Linked DNA regions of Oreochromis niloticus. The protein of the gene in region 2 interacts with the protein of the main gene of each other region in a pairwise test. Links are inferred from orthologs where the notes say so. Each region holds a gene or a part of one and is shown on either strand. Other genes may lie near its edges.

What was found. The genes of interacting proteins can lie anywhere in the genome.
Region 1: the proteins of aryl hydrocarbon receptor nuclear translocator-like protein 1 (region 2) and epas1b interact in binary tests that used the Homo sapiens proteins (3 or more experiments, as listed by UniProt). The link is inferred for Oreochromis niloticus from reciprocal best matches to the Homo sapiens genes BMAL1 and EPAS1.
Region 3: the proteins of aryl hydrocarbon receptor nuclear translocator-like protein 1 (region 2) and npas2 interact in binary tests that used the Homo sapiens proteins (3 or more experiments, as listed by UniProt). The link is inferred for Oreochromis niloticus from reciprocal best matches to the Homo sapiens genes BMAL1 and NPAS2.

Annotation. Positions count from the first base shown.
Region 1 is NC_031978.2:5,142,116-5,149,271, reverse strand, and holds the start of epas1b (endothelial PAS domain-containing protein 1b), read right to left. Parts: upstream 3,001-7,156; 5' UTR 2,799-3,000; intron 2,667-2,798; 5' UTR 2,623-2,666; coding exon 2,597-2,622; intron 1-2,596.
Region 2 is NC_031972.2:5,392,470-5,399,913, reverse strand, and holds the start of aryl hydrocarbon receptor nuclear translocator-like protein 1, read left to right. Parts: upstream 1-4,427; 5' UTR 4,428-4,584; intron 4,585-4,689; exon of another isoform or gene 4,690-4,906; intron 4,907-7,444. UniProt on the Homo sapiens protein: Transcriptional activator which forms a core component of the circadian clock.
Region 3 is NC_031975.2:10,397,764-10,405,704, forward strand, and holds the start of npas2 (neuronal PAS domain-containing protein 2), read right to left. Parts: upstream 3,001-7,941; 5' UTR 2,293-3,000; intron 1-2,292. Other genes in the region: brwd3 (bromodomain and WD repeat-containing protein 3), read left to right, coding at 7,398-7,431, 7,600-7,658, 7,761-7,790. UniProt on the Homo sapiens protein: Transcriptional activator which forms a core component of the circadian clock.

The DNA of each region.
Region 1 (7,156 bases), on a different chromosome or scaffold from region 2:
CCTCATCAAGTCTTGTACTATTTGTTGACTTATACATTTTTTTTTATTTTCAGTTAATGATGAAGTCCCAACCCATCAAATATTTGAATATTTGCCTTTAAAGTTCCAACTGCAGAAATGTAAATGATTAGTCAGTTACTAAACACTTATTATTATTTTCCCCATTTGCAGACTATATCTGACAGTTTGTTCATTTTCCTTCTTCCATGAACATGTTGGGCTTGTTCATGGAAGAAAAAAGACATACACACCAACTTATAAAGAAAAATCAGTGGCTCAGTGGTGAAAATCTTCTAAAATCTTTTTGTGTATCAGGATACAGAAAATATGTGCCTGCTGGACAAGAAGTCAGTTCATCACATCCACATGAGTATTATTAATAAAACCAGTGAGAGACACCGCATCTCAAATAAACACTGGCAGCTGTCATGAATCAAAACTTATCAAACCAATTATGACTTCCAGGCAGCAGCAGTGACAACATACTACTGTGTGACACAAAGACAAACACACACATACACAGAGCACACCAGCGAGAGGACAAACACCAGTGAACTCTCACACACTTACACACACACACGCTTTTCATGTGCAGCCTGACAGAGACACACTTGCAGAGATCCCTTTCCCTAAAATGGCCGATAGGTCTTCAGTGGGAGCACCGAGGCGTTGACCAGTCAGAGGAAATGCCCCTATACTCATCTCACTTTCCATCTCCCCAAGTCATTTTCTCCCTCTTTCTCTGAATGTTTTCACCCCTGGAACAGTTATCCTGCCTTAGTCCCCTGCTTTGTTCACCTTTAGGCTTGATCTGACAGACAAGAGTCAGAGAAAAGAGTCAGAGGTGCACTGGACATACAAGCAGGTGTCAAGCAAAAACAGCTGCACTGGTTGAAATTAGTTTTCTTCTCCAGGTAGTGTGAAAGATTAATTTGCAGAAAATCTCTGGGAATCTCTTAATTAAATGTTAAGTTGAGCATCATTTCACGCTCTCACCAGGAATCAAGCAGGAAACCTAATTTAGAATTTCCCACAGGTAAGATGTTAAAGCTAAACGGGCTGTTGTGACCACACAAACCGAGACAGGCTGAGACCAGTAAAGCATTATTACACAAGATTAAGCCTGAGGATTCATGGCTACCGATGAACAATTAACAACCAGAAAAAAAAGGAATAAAGCCAGGGAAACTGAAGAAACCTGAAATAATACAATACATAATTAGTTGTAGAGCCAAATTATAAACAACTTCACTGTAGAAAACATGCAGTATCCAGGCCTTGGTCAGATCAGTGCTGGGATACACTGACCTAGATGAAACATGCATAATTATCTCCTGTTTGACAAACTGGTTACAGGACAAGATTATCTGCTGTGTCATGTGACTAAGTTAAGAAAAAAAAAGATGTCACAGCTCTACGAATGCTGCCAATCATGCCGCCAAATATCAGCAACAGTTTTTGAGATTTTGGCTAAACATCAGGTGGTTAGAGTACTTTCCTGTGCAGGAAAGCACTCTCACAGCAAGGTACCGCAATATATCTGCAGGTCTAGAACTTTCCTGATCAGGCAGTCTGATATCTGCTGTAATGACTGATTATCCTTTACTGATGCCCGACTTCTGTTAAAAGGAGGTTAAAGGTTAAGAGCTTGGATTCTCTCTAGAAAGTGCCGCCTTACTCAAAAAAGAAAAAAAAAAATGTGTGGTGTCTTTTTTTCCCCTCTTGTTACTACTTGTTCAAAACTTCATGTAGATCTTGTTAATATTTATACATTTATAATGACATGTACTCTTCTATAGTAAGCTGCTACTTTGCATGCAAGTTGAGCCTTTTCTCTGTCTGCTCTGCATCCTGTGTGCAGGATCAAAGTGTTTTATGTGGGTTTAATTATGCAAGAAAAATGAAGTTTCATATGAAGAAAAGAACTTCCATTTAAAAAGATCACAAGTGTTGTGCATTTCAACAGCGAGCCCCTATAGAGGTATTTACACACACATAATTTTTTAAAAGTTAATGATTTGTTTACAGGACCACTTAATGTGGAAATTAGTCAGCAGTGTGGTTTAACCTTAGAATGAGCGAGAAGCAGATCAGAAATGGCATTAAATTTCAAATTTGAATATATTTAGAAAGTATTTTAAAGTCCTTTAAAGTTCATTCGGGGTTTTAAAATATGCACAATTCAATGTGAATGCGGCTTCTCGCAGTGAAACCCAAATCAAGTGTGGTTAAAGCCATTAACAATCGGCAGCTCATTTCCAAAACAAAAGCTCAGTTCAGTTACAGGCTAAACCGGCCACTTACCTTCCAGCCCCGGTGCATCAAAATTAATGCAATGCTAAGATTAAAGCTGTGTGAAACCACCGCCTGTCGCTGCCTTCCAAACAAGCACAGAGCGCAAAGCTAGGCCAAGTCACATGCAGCACTGCAGCAACAGGTCCCTCTCTGTGCCACAGCAGCCAAATGTCAGGCAATTTCTGCACTAAATAAACAGTCTATGTTATTAAAGCCGCGAATTAATAAAGTCACATCCAAGCGGAAGGCAATTAAAACCGCAGAGAGGCTGAAGGAGAGGAGTGAATCCAGTATCTCTTACCTCTTTTTCTCCTTATCGGCTGTCATATTTTCGCAATGCTGTTTCCACGACAGTCTTGAGTAAAGTCCAACTTTAGAGTAAAAAAAAAAAAAAAAAAAAAAAAAAAAATTATATTGAAAAAATAGGGAGACGAGAAAAAAGCAGGTTTAAGACCGAAGTGCGCAGGTCACAAGGAGCCCGCTGACAGATGAAGTCATTAAACCTGTGAAGCGTTCAGTTAGTCCAGGCTGGCGGTGATTGAGCTGGGGGATTGGGGCCGTACAGTCTCAGAACACTGCCGAGGATTGTACAACCTCTCACCCGCTGAGAAAAGACTCCACACAGGCTGAACGCTGAGCTGCTGCTGCTGCTGACAGAAGCCGCCCGCAGGTCCGCTTGTCAAAACTTTTCTTCGCTTGCTGATATGCAAACTCCCAGAGCTGCTCTGCCTCTGACCTGAGGCTCAGCTGAAGCTCAGTCCCGAACAGCTGATTGGCTGGAAACGCCACCGGGAGACCACCCCGCCCCTTTATTCAGCCCCGCCCCTCCCACTGTGGCCGCTGAACTCCTTACCGCTGATCTTATTCCTACAGGTGAGGACGTTATAAAGCTCCAGTGCAGACAATCTGTAGATAAAGTCGCTTTTTGGCCTAAAACTAGCCTACAGTAACCAGACTAGAAGTATAATGTAGTCACCTCTCACTTTAATGTAAGCTTATGAAGCTTTACATGAAACCATGATTACAACTGTTCTGAGAATTTATCTTTATATCATAAACACACAGGATCAGATTGTCTCAAAAGTGAGTTTTAACTCTTTAAAAGTGTATCCTAGTTCTGTTTCTTTAAAGGCACAGTTTAACTACTTGTGTGACCTTTCTAGGCGAAGCTGAACTTTTACTGGAGGAAATGCTATGTCAACTTAGACTAAGAAGTTTAAAATCCAGTCTTAAGTTTGCCAGTGTTTGCCTATTATTTATAGTTCATGTATTAAACTTAGGAAATCCTAATCAGGTAAGGCTCAACCTCCAAAGCTGAGCGCCTTTAGGATAGTTGCTGGTAATTTCTCCAGTGAAGTAAAAATTTAGGCTCAGTTTGCAGAAACTTTGACTTAATAACTTAAAATTTCAAGTTAAGTAAAACTTTGTCTTACTCAGAAGTGAATTGACATTTTGAGACCCTTGGTCAGTAAATTCAGATTCTGAGTCAGGTAACTCATTTTTTTTTTTTTTTTTTTTCCATTTCCTGCTTTTCTAGTGGTGAAAAGCCTCCAAAGAGTTGGATGATTTTCTCTTTTTGCAACTGGATCCATCCAGATACTGGAATCAGGGCGATGGCCGTGTTGATTATTCCACCATCTCCACACTCACTCAATAAACACAAAAAACACATGACGACACTCAAAATGCTATTGTTGAAACTTCAAAATGTGGAATTCAAAACCAGTGAGTGATGTCATGGTCATAGTCTGCATGTCATAGGTGTGTCGTGACTATGATGCATCTACAATCTGTTGTTTGAAACACACTAAAGCTACAATTGCAAAATACAACCAACATTTATATTGCTGTAGTTTGTAGTACTGTAAGTACTTTATTACACAACCTGTTAAATTACTTTGTTACTTTGAAGGTTAAGTTTTAACACAGATGGCAATTACAATTTCCAGTTTCAAAATGTATTTAAGTTTATATATATGTATATGTACACACACACACACACACAATTATAACTGTTTTGTTCTTTCTTTCTTGGCTTCATTAAAAAATTCTTGACATTTTGTGTCTCGTTCCAGATTAAAAGTCCCCATCATGCAACGTCATCAAATGTCGTGTGGTCTTAGTTAACTTGAAAAGTATAAAATGTAGTAAATGTTTTTACTACAGTTTGAAGTTGGATTAAGTAGGGCAGGAGTCAGTCCCGAGGCCTGTGCACGAGAAGCAGCCTCGCATGTCGTCTTCGGTTTGCCTTTCTTATCACTGATCTGCTGTCAGTCTCCACAGCAGTGTTTCCATCACCAAGGCTCCAGAACGTTCAAAATGGCGAAGATGTGGAAAGTATACTCATCCAAACTCACTTCTTCCACTCATACTTTAATAGAATAATGAAAACACCCTGCTGTCCTGCTTTTAGCCTCAGTTAAAATTGAAATCTTGTTCTGGATTTTACATAAAACTTGGATTTTTTTTTATTGAATCTCTTATCACGAAAATTTTTTACCATTCAAGTCCAGACAAGTTCACCATTTGCACTTTTCTGGTGGTTGTCATTTGGGAGTCATTTACTGGCATTGTCCGTTGAACTACAAACCAGATTTCTATCTATGTTGCAGGTTGTCAGGTGTAGATATAACACGACTGTATCAATTTGTGTTTATGTATAAGCATCTGCAGAACAGACCAAGAGCTGGGTTTAAATATTCACTTTTTCTAATTAGGATATGTAAGGTGTACAACTAAAAACCAAAGTAGACAGAATAAAGCAGGACAGCCTGCGTCACAGCTATTGTTGTTATTCTGAGCGGAACATCAAAGTTTCTCATGAGCTGTGGTTTTAAGAGCAGGTTGCACCGCATTGTTCAGAAACACATAAATGCTTTGGGTGTTTAACATTGTCCTCCTGAGTCAACATCTCAAATATTTCAGATAGAAAAGATACACATACAGTAGCCTCTGCTTTTTGCTCACTGTAATGTAATACAGTGAGCAAATTATTAAACATATTTTCATCTGTTTTTTTTTGACACATCTGAAATCAGTGCAAAGTGAGCATTAAAAATCACAGGAGCTGAAATGATACGCCAAACAAACAGCTGTCTCTCTCTGACATCATGATATTTAATTCATTTCAAAAAATTAAAATACACCTTCACATCCTTTTAAAATACAGTACATTTGGCACGTAGCGCAAAAGGGCAAAAAAAAAAAAAAATCAACATGAACACAAATGAAGGGCATGGAAATAATTCATCAATGAACAAAATGTACAGACAGAGCTTCACAAATACAGGGACTGCGAACAAACCAACAAAAACCGCATAAACATACAGTAACACTGCGGGAAGATGAACGTTTGACACTGTATGCATCATAATACTGTATCCACTGTTTGAAATCAACATCGTGCCTCCGTGTTTTACATTTATCTCCAACCGCCTCCATTTGAGAACGAGTGAAAATGAGTTTCCTACATGAAGGATGTTTTTGTTGGAAACAGATTTAGCACGGAGGACTAGGTGTCCCTTTCTAGTTGTAGTGGGACAAATAGTTTGACTTTTTTTTTCAAATGAAAGACTAAACAAACTTGCAACAGGAGACACGAGAGAAGAAGAAAAGTTGGATAATGTTAATCGATAGATCTGCTGTATTTACAGTAACACATCTTCAGCTCTTCAAACTGCTGCTACAGCATGGGTTTTACTGCTACATGAATGGTGCTGCTTGCTGTGCTATTCTTGGACTTTAATGAAAGGTCATTAGACATAACTGATAAGAGGACAGTCAACTCATTTAAATGTCATCTGCATGTGAATAAAATTAGATCACAACTCCCACAAATTACCACATATGTAACTTTTTAGCACGATTTGAAACCAATTTCGCAGTAAAGGTTCTATGTTGTCATCTTTTGGCTGATATTAGCCTATCACAGCTGTATGTTGTCAGATTTCTTTCTTTTACACCATAAAAAGAAAAAGCATAAAAGATGCTTGATGACATTTAAAAATGCTGTCATCACACAGTTTGTCCAGCTTTGACTGACTGGCACTGGTACCGGTCCAAAAAACGCAGTATCACCCTTGAAATGTCCGAGCACTTCATAAGCAGAGGCTTTAGTCTGGATGGGGAATCAATTTGGAAATTGAACAGTTATTCTATGCCATTAACATCCCTGACACCCTGCCTTCTTCCTCTACTCTGTGCTACCTTAAAGAGACCAAAAGTAGCTTCTGAGATACTTCTGAACTGTGCTGCTACATGTCTGGTGGAAGCATTGTGCTCAGTGGACGTAAGTAGGCTCTGGTGTATTACCGGGACCAGTCTTGCTCCAATCATAATGCTTTTTCACACACAGCACTCAAAATCTTCAGATCTGAGAATGGCGTGTCTGAAAAAGACTCATCGTCTATCCCTGTAATTTCAGTGTGACATCTCGAGGTTAGGCCACTAAAGCACGGAGATGAATTGGATTTTAATTGTAACTGCATTTTCTTTCTGTTTGTTTCAACAATTGCAAAAGCATGATAATCAGCTCTTATTTATTTTATTTATTTTGTGAGTTCTAAATTAAATGCAACTCACCAGTGCCAGTGCAGTAGTTATGTCCTTCTCTAAAAGGTCAAAACCAAAGTCTTTGGTCAGCATGATCCATCCATCCAATTCAGGGTGAAGGCGTGCTGGAGCCTATCCCAGCTGCCTTGGGATGAAAGCTGGGGTACATTTTGGACAGGGCTAACACGGAGACATCCACACCTACGGCCAATTTAGAATCACCAGTTAACCTTACCCCTACTATCTGCATGTCTTTGGATGGTTGGAAGAAGTACATGGAGAGAACCCATGCAGATGCAGGAAGAACATG
Region 2 (7,444 bases):
GCAACCAATCGCACTCACATTCACTCCTGCATTCACACCTATGGGCAATTTAATGGTTTCCAGTTAACCTATCCCCACAAACTGCATGTCTTTGGACTGTGGGAGGAAGCCGGGGGGAACAAATAAAATAGATCCTGTTTTTGTTTTTAGGTTTGTTTGTTTTTTGAGGGGGGTGGGGGTCCTGCTGGGAAGGGGATCCAGTATAACTCCTTTCTGCATGACTGAAGAAAAATTCCTTCCACTCATCTCTTATCGAGTTCAGGCTGGAGGTTGGCAAAACAAACAAATGCACATAAAAAATGGAAATTAAACTATAGTTAACTTTAAACAGTTATATAGCTCATAATCTGGATATAAATCTATGTTCTTCATGCAACACAATAGCTGGATATGAAGCAGATGTTATTACAGCCGAATAATCAACAGGCTGTTGATCAGGTTATGACATAAAATATACATAATAATAGATAAATAAATATACAACAAATATACAAAATATATATAAATATACATAAAATATAAAATGTAATTTTAATTAACATTTACATGATTTTTGTCAGTCCTTTTGATAGTTTGTTTTCATTAAGATCTGATGGTGTGTTGCTATTAATTATGGATTTAGAAAATTCCAACTGTTGTAATGCATTTGTATGAACAAGATATAATAGTGTAATAAATTGTCAATGTGATAACATATGATACAGCAGAGGGGGCAAAAGCGCAGACATTTGTCACGTACGTAAAGGAAAAGATGTGTTAAAAATACTCTGGCAAAAGTGGAAGTACTAATTCATCTTCTTCAAGAGTAAAAAGTTTATTTTAAATTAAAAAAAAACAAAACTCAGCTTAAACATCTGTTATATAAAACACGACCAAAGAAAAATAAAGGGAATTTAAAAAAGATATATCTATATTTGCTCTTGCCTACATTGTAGAGCGGCGACTCATACACACCTAAAAACATCGGTTGTAGCGGTGCAACATGGGCAAAACAATTACAAAGAAAGATGTCACGCTTTCCATTTGTGAGCACTTCATCTGTAAGTAGAGCAATATCACCACCTGCTGGTGCTCACAGTCAGACACACATGTCTCACTTTTCCTCTGACCTCATTATAGAAACACTAGAACAGCGGTCCCCAACCCTTTTTGCGCCACAGACCGGTTTATGTCCAACAATATTTTTGCTGACCGGTCTTTAAAGTGTCGCGGATAAATATAACAAAATAAAAACAAAGAAGGTTTATTCATAACACACGTGAAAAGACCCAGTTAACGGAAACCGAATTAACGATAAAAACGTTAAAAAAAACAAACAACCCCCCCCCCCCAAAACCCCGATAAAAACCGATAAAAACCCTGAAAACCATAAATTTCACACCCGAGCTAAAACTATCGCAGCCCGGTACCAAAGGACTCATGGACCGTTTTTTAAATCTTCGTATTGTATTTAATAAATGCAAAATGAAGTAAAATCACTAAATAAGGCAATATTTTAATTAGAAAAAAAGTGCATTTATGTCAAGTCTTTTAATTGACCCGTTTCCTTACATTATATTATTCAACTGTTTCAAAACCCAAATTACTTGAATCCCCAAATACTTACTGGTGAAAACTTCTTTGATTGCTGATGCCAAATCATAATATTACATAAAGGGGAAAAAATAACACTGTTTCTTATTTAATGCTCAAGATTACAAAATTGCTAAAAAACACTTCTTCTTTCTTTTTTTTAAAATAGCCAAACAGTGCTACATGGATCAAAAATACCACTACAACTCATGAAGAAGAGGAACGTTGAAACTGATTAATAGATAAGTCATTTTGAGTCAAACCTGAGCCCACTTCTGTTTGCAGCTATTTAGCTTTAGCTAATATTGATTTTAGTCTAAACTCTAACACATATGTACAACAGTTACATTTACATCTGCAACACAAGAATTTCACTTGTGCTTGAGTATTGCTATTTTAAATCCAGAACAAACCTGAAATCATCCACCAAATCTTTCAAATAGAGTTGTCTAGTGTCTAACCAGTTTTGATGTTTTGGTCTCCCTGTCTTTGGTTGAACTTTTTTTCCATCAGGATTTGGCAGTCACTGAACAAAGCAGGGGAGACAGCACAAATTGCATTGCAGCAGAAGCAGTAGCTGCATAGCTGGCCCCTGGTTTGTTCCCTGTTTTGGCCTTTAAAAAAAGAAAATGAAGGTATCCAGTAATATCTGAAAATAGGCTTTTTATTCCCTTTAAAAAAAAAAAAGTTAGAATGTGTCACAGCTTTTCACCTTAAATTGATTTCATACCACTGTCAGTACTATATATCACTTTAATTTCCCCTTCAGGTTTATATCTAAGTTTATATCCTATTCTAATGCTTCTAGTATGAAAGCCTCTCTCATCTGCTGTTGATGAATTGTATGAAGGTGGTCGACTGATTGGATGGCATAAACTATACAGGCATTTGAGATCATGTCTGAGGGTTCTCTGTGAGTGGAAGAATACGTGAAAGTTAATGTTTCTCATTCCATTCAAACTGTTTTTGGTAGAAAATATAAATGTAGTTTTGCAACAACATGCATTATTATCTAAATTGGTGCATGTGTCTGCTATCACAAATACCCCAGAGCATGTAGTTCATCCTATACAGGAAAAATAAGAGACAATAAATAAATCATCCATGCCATCAACACACAGCACTGTAAGAGTGTAATTACTGACTCCTTCTTCACAGTCAAGACAACCTGTTGTTAGACTGGCTGTCTCCATCAGTCTCTATGTCTGTGTCTCTGTAGGCTGTCGTTTACCTCTGCAGGCTGTTTCTCCAGGCTTTCTGATTCTCATTTTTTCCAAGTATTTTTGATGTATTTGTTAATTATGTTATGATTCTTTTAGTACAGTTCTGTTATGAAGTCAAACAGTAATGTTTTAAAACTGAGGTAACAAGCAAGAGGCAGATCTGACTGAGAAACTCAAGTAGAGGTATACTGCACACTCACAGGTTACCAGCATGGGAATTATACAGTAAAGCCCTCTTCGTTTACAAAATGAACACCTTAAATTTAACTTAAATTTAGCTTAACACTAGTGATTGAGCTTATGATGTCACCAGGAATGTGTTTAAACTTCTATACAGCTTTCTTTTTATAACCCCACTTGTCGCCCTCTGCTGGCCATAAAAAAGAATGCAAGCATAATGGACTTTGCGTTCTCTTCTCGCAGCCTCGGTTCCCTTTGGTGTAAATCTCCAGAAGTCTGGAGATGAGTTTCTGTTTCCACTGAAAACCCTTCAGCATAGAAACCTCACATTTGTCTAGACTGTGTTTCCTGTACCCTCTGTCCTACTTGCACGTCATCTTCAAGAAAGTCTTAATTCCAGAAAATAGTTATTCCATATTAAATTAACTACTTCTGAAAGGTGGGTTGTATAGTGTATATAGTATATGTTATATATGGGTCCAGCTTTTTTTTTTTTTTTTTGACCTTCATAACTTTTGAAGAACAGGAGATATCCACCTGAAAAAAGCCACAATCTTCTTTTGCACAATTAGTTTCATTATCATAGTTTCAAGTAACAATGCTGCACCAACTTAATGTCTGTGATTTAGAGTAAGAGGAACAATCAGTGGTATACTGAGTCCCATATCATTCCCTAATTCGTTACTGGACCAAATGCACTTTGGGAATTGAAATGTCCTTCAAAATGTGTAATGAAATGTGTTTTCGCATTACGGTGAGAAGAACGGAGGAGAGAGGAGGCAGAAATGAGAGAAATAAGAAAATCCCTTATGTTAAGTAATTCCTTTTGTTCTGTTCCCCTCTTTTGCTGTCTCTTGCTCACCTTTTCCATCTGCATTTTGGTCTGGTGTCTGGACTCCAGGATCTACAAACTTTGTTTCAATAAAATTTATTTCAGACTGTTAAGAAAGACCAAAGTAACAAAACACCTCAGAACCAAATAATTGAAATGAAGCGTCGTGATAAACAAACAAGAAAAATTGAGTCATAAATTTCCATTTGTGATTGTGGAACTTGAGAAGGACTTGATATGTTCAAGTTAAGCCACCGTCTTAAGCAAATATTTCTGTAGTAAATGAAAATTTCAGAGAAAAAACAACTAAATAAAAATTACATTTATGTTTTTTTCTAGAATGATTACAAATTATTAGATTAAATGGGATTTTTCTGAACACTAGTTACGGAGCAGAATAACCTCGAGGACAACCTGTGAAATGAGAAGAGAGGTTAGGTTCGTCACGGAGTGGGAGGGCGCAGTGGACGGATTGGACTCGGGCCTACGGCTCACACACAGCTAGCGTCTGCATTCCCTTCATCTCCGACCGTCATTGGCTAACGAGCACGTCGGTCATTGTTTCCCAGCCTCAACTCGCGTCTGATTGGCTGAAGGGACACCTACGACGGTAGGGCAAACGCTATTGGTTGAAAAACTAGGTTAGTGGTCCGACAGGCATGACGGTGAAGAGAAACTGGGTCACCGATTGAAAATCGTTTATGTCACACTTCTGTGTGTTGCTATTACATATTACCAGCGACGTTCAATGGATGGATTAGTCCCCCTGGATCTTTTGTAAGTATAACACAAGGACGAGGATATGTTTGTCGACGCCGCGTCTGTGTGACTTTGCTGGGCTTCAGTCTATGATGGATATCGTCGATGTTTTCCCAGCGCTGTGGTCATGTCAGTGTGGTTTTCTAGAGCAGGAGGAGGGACTTTAGCTTTGCTGGCCAAGTCTTGACAGTTAGTAGCTAGCAGGGAGCTGTATGCTAATGTTAGCAGACGGGGCAGAAATGCCGTTATGGTCAAAAAGTGCGGAAAACGCCTTTAGTTTGTCGGGGTTGGTTTAAGTGGTGCCAGGACTCGCCCGGACTTGGAGGAAGCTCGGGCGTAGGTAAGTGCCGGTCAGTGGCTTTCAGTTTATTAACTGAACGTGACCCAAGTGAGTAAAGCTCCAGCGCTAGCACACTAGCTGTGTAAAACGGGCCTTGGTGGGTATCCTCAGCAGCATCCATCCTGCTCCTGTAACTTCAAAGCCTCCATTGCTCGTCTCTTTAAAAGGCCTCAACGTTACTGTGCCATTCTTCTATTTATTTGGAGACCTGTGCTTGTTTTAAGTATCGCGACGGTGTATGCACTTGCTGTGGAAATGTGGCCACCGCTAGGTGTCTCTGCTGTGGTTGATCAAAGGCTATTTGATTGGGTTGTGGTTATACTGTGCATATAATTCGTGTATTATTTAAGCAGGAGGATATGGGGTGTGATAGATCATATAAAATCCGAAACAAAACCTAACCAAACCGCTTGAAAGCTGAGTGAGTGACGATTGTGATGATTTTAGTTGTTTGTTGTTACACATAGGCATCATAAAGGGTGGACGTGGCTTAATAGTGAAACCAGTGCAGAAGGCCGTTAAACCTTCATTCTTTCTAATGAGCACCAGAGGGCGATACCTGTGGTTGTAGAAAAGCCTTCCTGTCCTGTATAAGTCTATGGGAAAACAGCCCTCTGTCCTGACATCAATAAACCCTTTCCTCATGTGTTTATGGGCCCAGCAACTCATTTCAGGTCACATTGAGTAAGACGTGAAATCCGTTTTCTAATGTACTGTCTTTATTAGAGACAGACAGGAGGATTAGGTGTTAGCCATGAGCATGCAGGTCTCCTTGCATGTCATACCTGGTTTCAGAATACCAAGGCGGGTCCTGCTGAGGACCAGCTGGTTTTGACTGGGAGGATATGAAATGGGCTTGAGCAGGATAGGAAACAGTTGGTTGTCACTGTTGATTCATCATCTGAGTCACTCTCACCACACTGAAGCCTTTTTTTAGTACACAGGGTTTATGGATCTATTTGGGGATACTTCATATGAAACCTTTGGACATTGTGTAAGGGCAGTTTGCTGTTAATTTTATTTCCTTTTTTTTTTGCTGGATTACTGTCTTGTGTGTTATTTTGACAGCTGAACCTTGTGTTTTTGTAGTTTCTCATGCCTGCCTTGAGTAGATTATCCATTAACTGTTTCACCACATGAAAGGCACTTGCTGTGAACTTCAGACTGTGTCTTTGTTTTTGTTTCTAGCCAGGTAGCAACCTACATCGGATCTTATCAGTACGGATATATGTAGCCACAAAGACATTTTTACAGCAGACATTTGTTGTGATGACTCAGAAGGGTTGCAGTTAACCGTCCTGTTGATCATGAACGCCAAATGACAAACCTATGGTTTCTATGAGGAAACTGCATAATATAAAACGTTATAGAGAAAAAGATTCTTGTCATGACTATGTGGATGCTAATTTAGATTAACTAGAGATCATTCTAAGTAATTATGTGAGAGAGAACGTTACACTAAAAAAGTCTAGTATTAAAATGTATGTGGAAATTCTTCAATGCCAAGTATTGTGGTAGAAGTATAACGTTAGTGGGGAAAAAAGCTTTTTAAAACCTTATTTTAGAGCAACCTAGGTAAACTTTTTTTTAATGAGATTTAAGTGGTGATCCTACACATGTAGCTGTTATTTCCTGTTAGCCATTGTAATGAATATTCATTTGGATAATCCTTCAAAATAAGAGCCCACAAGTGCTTAAGGAAAGTTCCAATTGGTGAGGCTTGCTTAAATGAGATTATGGGACACAGTTTATTTAGAGGCGAATGTATGAGAGCTACTGAAAATGCCCTTCTTAAGGGGTGAATAGCGTTGTCAGTGATGAATAATAATGAAAAAAGGACATGGCATGGAGGTGCAGTTTTTAGCGCTGATGCCTCACAACAAAGTTTGGATCTGCTGAGGTCTTTCTTTGTGGAGTTTACACATTCTTCATGTGCCTATATGGGCTTCTTCCGGGTACTCCGGCTTCTTCCTAAAATCCAAAGATATGCATGTTGAGTTTACTTGTGACTGCAGGTGAGAGATTGTGTGGTTGTCTGTCTCTGTGTCGACCCTGTGATGGTCTGGCAACCTGTCCAGTGTGTGTACCCCGCCCCTCATCCTATGATAGCTCCACCCCATGTCCCTAAGTAGGATAAGCGGTTAAGAAAATGGATGGATGTAACCAAGGCGTCCTGCCAAGTTAAATAAACATGCCCCATGTCTAATTCCCAATAGGAGATGCTGGCCACAGTAACTGGCCATATGCTTTGGCTGGACAAACCTAACGAGCCATGCCATTGACTAAACAGAGAGGTTCCACATCCATCAGGAAATCCTCGCATGTAACTAAGAAGATACGATGCCTGACACTTACTTATTTCTCCCCTGGTAGCTTCTGTGGTTTAAAAAAGGAAAAAGGTAAAGAATTGTTGGGGTTGAAAGGACAATTGATCAAGAAATGTGTTTATCTAAATAAAGAGACACAAGTAGAGAATACAAGCCAAATGATTTTAACTAGTGTAAATACAATAAATAAATAAAAAAACAAACAAACACT
Region 3 (7,941 bases), on a different chromosome or scaffold from region 2:
GTGGAAGATTTTAAATTAATATGGTTTGTTAAAGAAAAAAAGCAAAACACCGTGATAAGACTTGAAGTCAATGTCAGTACTGAGACAATAAGGCCAAAATGAGCTAATCACACACAAAAAGATGACACCTCTGGTGCTCAGAGGTAAGCGGGAATTGGTTATTTGCAACCTCTGATCTATTAATCAACCTGTTGTGAGATTTCACCTCATTTCATGTGTGTTTGTGATGATTCATCATGGGTTGAACATTCAACATTCATTCTATGTGGAGCACAGCTCTGTTTTCTTAAAGAGACAGAAAGCAGGAGGAGTCCCTTTGCTGTTGCACAGACCTACACCATTTGTGCATGCCCAGTCACACTAAGCAGCTCTAGCAATATTCAGACTAGCTTTCAGTTTAAGCTTGCAGGACATGGCCCAGTAACCTACTTTCCCCACAACATGCTCTGTAACATCAGAGAAGAGGCTATGTGTCATCAGTTAACTAACCTTCACCACAGCATAGTTTCAGCAAAGAGATGCAAGAAGAAGAAAAAGAATCACAGACACTAATCACAGTTATATGTCAGGACAGAAATGTCCACAAGGCCTCATGCTCAGTTTATACTTAAAGGTGAAATAAATCCTGATAGAACTTATAATATAACTTATATTCCCTGCATTTAAAGGTCTCCAGGGGAGGAGACTAAAACTAAAAAAGACAACATGAAGAAGATTAGAGAAGAAAACTTTCAATTTGAGAGCAGAAAAGTCTCAAATTGCCATTCCACTGAGTACAGGGCAAGCTAATTACATTACAATAAATGTTGGTTATAAAAAAACAAACAGATGTGTAACATTTGTGGCAGCTTTTCTCAAAACTCTGAAATCTTTGTTTGACGGGAACACGTCTTAGCAGAACCTTAGCAGATTGGGTTTCTGCTGTGCACAGCCTCGTGTATCAGGTGATCAGCACCGTAAATGGTTAAACCCCACTACCTGACATCCTCAAACCAGTCTTCTGGGTTTCTGGGTTACCACACACACACCTTAAAACGAAACACCCACACAGTCTGACAGCTGTGTCAGTGGTGCACAGTGCACTACTGACACAGCTGGTCCAGGCTCACTCTACATTTGTTTATCACCCAGAGGCCAAATTTTTTAGTCTGACAAGTTGTGGATGGCCTTCTCCATGATACCTGTCAGTTACTGGAAGCTGTAAAAGGATTGTGATTGACTCCTATATACTGTTTTCATAGTGGTAGACCTAATGCCAAAAGTGGAATCCACCACTTTTTCTAGCTCGCCGTGTAACAATGTTCTGATTGTCCCATTTAGTAGCAGGATTAGAATTGGCTGAAGGGAGAAGAAGACAGCATGAGTCATGAGGCAGGCCCAAATGTTTAGCAGCACGATATAAAGAGGAGCATATGGTGCAGTGAACAGCCCAGTTCAGTCAGTCATGGAACAGCCTCATCCTGCCCCGCTCAGCTGTCAGCACACATCCTCATCACTGCTCATGGCTCCTGGGCCAACCTCAGCACTGACACAGCAAGCCGGAAAAATGGCACAAGCCTCAACACGAGTGTAAGTAGATGGACACACAGGATAATCTTTTAGACTCTGACAGCAGCACATTTTGGAGCAAAGAAAAAAAAATGCCTCGGATCCCTCGCTCTGGGTTTTGTTTCGCATCAGGTCCCCGAACCACAGCCGTCACTGACATAGCATCAGTCATTCAGATCAGACATTCAGATGTATATCAGAGCTGATTTTACTAGGACAAGTGTCTTGGCTTATCAGACTCTAGTTTGTTTGTCTGTTTGTGCCAATTAAGCCACATTCATATTTCATTCCTCATATTTCAAATCTCACACACACACACACACAAGAATCTTTCTTTTTCAGATGCAGTCAAGTGTCTCCATATGGAAAAAACTAACATTTCAGAGCTAGGTCAGCACATAGGTTCCATTATACAGTAGTTACTGCACTTACTAAGATTTTTACACAGCTTCACACAATATAATGATTATAACACACACTAAAGGACCAAGACTTTCTTCACTTAGTAAACAGAAATAAAAAAAACAAACAATCTAAACAGTCATGTATGTGTTTGATTGGGACATAAAGAAGCAGAAATACCATCTATTGCTATTATAAAAACACTGTGAAGCAGACTGAGTCAGGAGAAGAGGGCAGCTATTAAAAACAACTTTTTAAATTATTATTATTACTTGAAAGTTTCCAATTTGAAGCCACATTTATAACAACCGCAACAAGTATCGAGCACAAAACGACACTCACCTTATTCTGCCGAATAAGGATCCAAACAGGAGCGGGTGTATATGTGTGTGAGAGTCTGGGTTTTAACAGATAAAACTCAGACGTGTTACATTCCAGAAAGTTGCTCACAGGTGAAACTGCACTGCAGTCTGCTAACGATTCCTGCCGCTGTCTGTATTTAGGCTGCAGCACGCTGCTGATGTGACCCAGCCTACAAACCTCACACGTTCATTAGAGCGCGCTGGACAGTCCGGCTCCTGTCCGCGGACTCATGCAGGCTGAATGAAGAGCCTCCGGCAGCAGCCAGTGTGCGCTCGCGCTCACAGCCCCGCCCACTGGTCCACATACTATATTAAGTTATGTGAGCAGGCTGATTGCAGTCTGCCGAAGGGCGGAGGTGGTCCTTCAGCCCCGCCTGTTCTCACGACGTCATTGGAGGAAAGTGCCATCCAATACCGCCCATCTCCACAGGGTTACCGTAAGGGGGTGTGGCTGGACCGCCATCCAGCCTTTCAGTTGTCTGCATTTGGGGGTTTCTCGGCCAGACAACACTACAGGTAGAATACCGCGTGGGTGCAACACAACTGAAGATCACATTTAGGCTGCTTGACACACCACTGCTCGGCTGATTTGTGTGATTCGTGGTCTCTGGGTCAGCCACAGCCGGGCTTCGTAAAGTTTGTTGGTCTGAGAGACGCACCGCAGAGTCGCACCTGTCCCCTACTTTCTCCTCAGTCCAACCAATCAGTGGACGCTGCAGCGCCACCTTTAGTTCAGTCCGTGCAATCTGCATGGGTAAACTGCTAAAGGTGCAACAGCTCAAATGAGTCACTCCAGTATATGCAATCGGTTGAAGCTGGAAGAGGTGTATCTCACTGAGTTTCCCTGGTTTGCTATTTTACATTACAGCTATAGCATTACAGGTCACTACTCATGGCCCTGGCTGCTGACATATCATGCATACTTCACATATAATTAAAATGGTTGAGATGTTAGTGGATAAGCAGATATGCTTTTAAATGCTGTGTTGTAGGTAGGTCAAAGCATCTGGGGGTCCAAACATCTGTCAGTCTTGGATTGTCCTCCCCAGAGCCCAGACCTGAACATTATTGAAGCGGTTGGTGATCATATTAACAGTAAATATCCAAAGAAGAGCTTTGAACGTCCCTCAAGAAACCTTGGAGAACTTTTCTTGAAGACTACTTAGAGAAGTGACAAGAAAGCTGCGTAAAAGAGTTTAGACTGGCTTTCAAGCTCATTAGAATTGTGCAAACTCTGTTTTTGCCCTATATACTCTATGTTCTTGTTTGTACAAAAATCACTGGACCTATTTTTCAGTTTCCAATCAAAATATAAAGAAATAACAGGTGGCTCTTTGCTTTTGCACAATGCTTTATTTATAAATCTGCAATATTTCTAGGGTGGCATACAAACAGAAGAAACTTTATGTGACAGGAAAGGTTAACTCCTTTTGAAAAAGGCAGCTGAAGCACATGTTCAGATCACACTCCTGCAGATCAGTTCTGGAGACTTGCTGAAGTAAAAAGCAAGTGGCACTGTATGTAAAAGTCTGAAACATTTGTACAAAGTTAGACTGATTTGTGGATTTTCATATGTCTAAAGACAAGGTAGCATGTAACACTCTAAAACAATTCTGTTGCGAGAGTTGCATCCAAAGCATGATCAAATAGGCCAACACCCCCACTCCTTCACTTCATCTGTCAAAAGATATCCTGTCTAATAGACCTCTCAGAGGATGTGTGTCTCTAAATCACTCCTCAGGAGGGGAAACAAGGCCAAATGCTTCGAGTGGGTTAAAACATACTTGTATTTCACAGCGGACTGACTATTAAATCATGAATTTCGTTATTCATGACCGTAACAGAAGGGTGTATGTAAGGCTGCTGCCAGAAGGGAGAATGACACCACAGCATATCAAATCATTTTCAGGCCACATAGATGTTTTGTCTGCAGAGAAAACTCTTTTGCAACTGCCTGCGAGAAAGCGTGTGAGTCGGCCAGTCGTCACACATCATTTTCCTTTACAATTTTCCCGGTGAATAGCTATTCATGAACAGGGCAAAGACGGCATGGCTCTACGTGAGGAGAAATAAGTCTACACCATCCCTCCACTGTTATTCTATATATAAAATGCTTTATCGTGGAGTCAAACCACACACATAAACACACACTCACACACAAAGAGCCCTCTTCAAACAATGACGAAGTGAACATAAGCTGCCAATTCTCTCAAAAGCAATATTTGAAGAAACCACAGCAAACGGCAAGAGAACTTTTTTAAATTTCACTGGAGATCAAGAGTGAACCTTGAGAGTGTACGTATGTGAGCGAGTACGTGAAACCACAACTCAAAAATCCAATAACAATCTCAGCTTTGCAGCTGTGATCTGTGATGATGGGTGTTGTGTCAGCCGTGCACGGTGAGAAACACGGTGAGAAACTTCAAAAGACGTTTATACATAATCTTTGTTTGTTCATTTTTTGCTAGTTACAAAGAAGGAAAGCATAGGGTATTTATTTTCAGCTTCCCAAATAAAATAGTGACCTCACCTTGGTGGTTATTTGAGACTCAGACATGCTCTCAACCTTTCCATGAGTCTTTCTATCTAAGCCAATGAATGGAGCTTTTTCAGTTTTTAGATTTTTCAAGGAATTGTGTGCAGGGTTCAGCTTCAGTATTACACCGATACACTCTGTGGTTTTTTTGTGAACGTGTGAATAATACACCATTAATGTTTACGCATGAACTATTTAAATACATAAGTCTGTCAAATTTGTTTTCTACATGTGCAAAAATGTGTGCTTCAAAAACATTTCATCATGAAAACATGTCAGGCTGTAAAACATGACTGTGCATCACCCAGAAAACTTCACCCAGGGTGACAGGAATAAAATAATGAACATATATGTCTCAACAGTTCTGCATCATTTTGGGTAAAACTGCATAATTTAGTGTCACTCAATCTAAAAGTAAGAAAGGCCATGAGGTTTTCTTCTCCTTCTTTCACTTACTCCCTTTAGGGGTCACCACAACAGATCAGTTGCCTCTCTTTTAACCTATGCACAACATCCTCTACACCCTCTTTCAAAAGTACTTCCTATCTCCTTTTACTACCCAAATGGACACATACTTCACCATAATGTGTTCTTACCCTGTTGTTTTATGTGGCTCATACAAATGAGAACAACCTTCCTTACAAAGATATTGTTGCAAGATGTTATGAACGAGTCTGTGATTGGCACAGGTGGATGGTTTGAAACTGTAAGCGAAGTGCCAAAACTATGGCTCCGTCCTAAACTCTTTACGCAGTCCTGCTACGAGCCGACCCCCACTTATTATACTGGTGTTTTCATGAAACATATCAGAAATGATCTAAACTGAGCTTTTTTTCTCAGAAGTGTGCAGAGACTTTTCTCTATTGAGTCTGTTACGAACACAGCGACATATCTGTCAGAATATAGCTATTAATGGGACTGTGTCAGTGTGGTAGACTAATATCTGAGCCATGTGCACATTTACCCAGGTGGCACAGTAACGGTACTTTAATTATCACAGGAACTGTCCATGATCAATCAAATAATGTTAGGTGTCTTACAGGTCTTCTGTTAAACACAGATTTCAGGTTCATTTGGTGAAGCTGTTAAAAACAATGCAGCTTTTCTATGGATCAAGCTCCACCTGAGTCTCAGCCCCTAGGACCTCACACACAGTGCCCAGAGACTTCTATCTATACCTTATATTAAAAAAAAAATATTGATCATCCATCAATTCTTCTGATTTGTGAATTACATCATTATTTTATTAAACATTATTATTTTTATTAGTAATTACCTGATTATTTTGTAATTTTTTTATTAGGCCTCCATCACTCACTCTCACTTGACGCTTCCTTTATAGGGTTTGCTGGCCTTGAGCTGTTTCTGGTTATCACTGAAGTGAAGTGGCTGGGTTTTTATATATAAATTATAGAAAACACTGAATAGATAAACCTGTGATTGCAGCATTACAATAAGTTACCTCTAAAAGCCTGTAAAATTAAACACATCTTCTTTTCTTATATTTACTTGCTGAAAAATGATCCAGTCTGCTTTCCTCATTGTTTAGGATTTCTATTTCTAGGGCTCCCTTCCTAAGCATTTTAAGAACAGCTCTTATTGGCTGTTTAGCAGATAATTCTGGTCACTTCACTGAGTTAGGAACCTTCTTAAACAAAAAACATCCATGAATCTCCTCTGTGCTCGTTCTCTTTTCCTCCTGCCTGGCAGCTTCATCGTCAACATGCTTTACCCAGCGTATCCACTATCCCTCCTCTGCACATGCCCAAACCCTCTCAACCCTGCCTCTCTAACTTTGTCTCCACACAAAGGCAATGATGTTCAAGCCCACCCTTTAGAACTCAGCCTTGCAAGGGTGAGCTGGTGGAAATAAATGCTATACTATTTCACAATTCAACAAGCTGCACATTTTCTTTGTTACTGTTAAAGTCAAGGATGATTCTTCCACAATGACACCCAGATGCTAGAGACTGTAACCAAAACACTCCTCATATCAAAGACGAATGCATTTGTACCTACTAGAAAATGAACTGATAGAAAACTTATTTATTTGGACATACTTTTTGTATGTCCAAATATATTAAGATCAGTGAGATTGCTCCAACAATTGCAACTGTATATTGACTGGCAACAATATATTTAAAACCACAAATATTTTTATTCACAAAATAGCATTGTTGCCCCCCCCCCCCAAAAAAAAAAAAAATAAATTACGAATACATTTACCCTTTAAAATATTAATCCTGAAAAAAATTATTTTACCGCTGAAAAGTATTAACGTTCAATTGTTGTGTAAAATCTGTGAAATTTTAACGAGTTTTATTTGTAACATGGATTCATTCTTTCTGAAGAAAGCACTCCGTCCGGTACTGTGTTGATTCACTAGAGGGCACTAATCCAAAGCAGCGGATAGTATGGGAACAACTTGCGAGAGGAGGCCATTCACTAGCCTGTTTTAGCTACACACACCTAGCTACTCTTAGCTAGCCGGCGGCTAACCAGCGAGCTAAAACATCAGTTTGTCTTAATGTCGCCTGTCTTACCAAGTGATGGCAAGAGAACAGTGTTCACAAATCGAAGCTGGTGAGTACTGACCGCTGCTTTAATTCGCGACTAAATATTTTGCATTTACACTGTTTTCAGTTGTGTGCCAGGTAGCGAGCTAATTAACCGAGCGCAGCTGGCTAACGCTAGCTCCGCTCAATAGCTACCTCCGTTAGTACCAAGCTCATTTACTGTTTTTCTTTTCAGAACTCTATTACCTCATTGCCAGATTTCTGCAGTCTGGACCGTGTAAAAAAGCCGCAAAGGTAATACCTTACGATGAACAAAATAGCAAGTCGTACTGGTTAAAAATCGTCTAAATAAGTAGGTTTCTTAGCATCCGTTGCTAACTGTGTCTCTGTTGTTAGATCCTGATCGAGGAGCTGGAGGAGTATGAGGTAGGTTCAGCTGAACCTTTCTGATTTTATTCTCATGTGTGGGTTTCCGTAGTGATGCCCATCTCGACGCTTTTTGGGGCCAGCTTTTTAGTAGTTTTGATCGATGCTAGATAAAGGAGCGCGATTCCCTGCCGGGACGAGCCTCGCAATT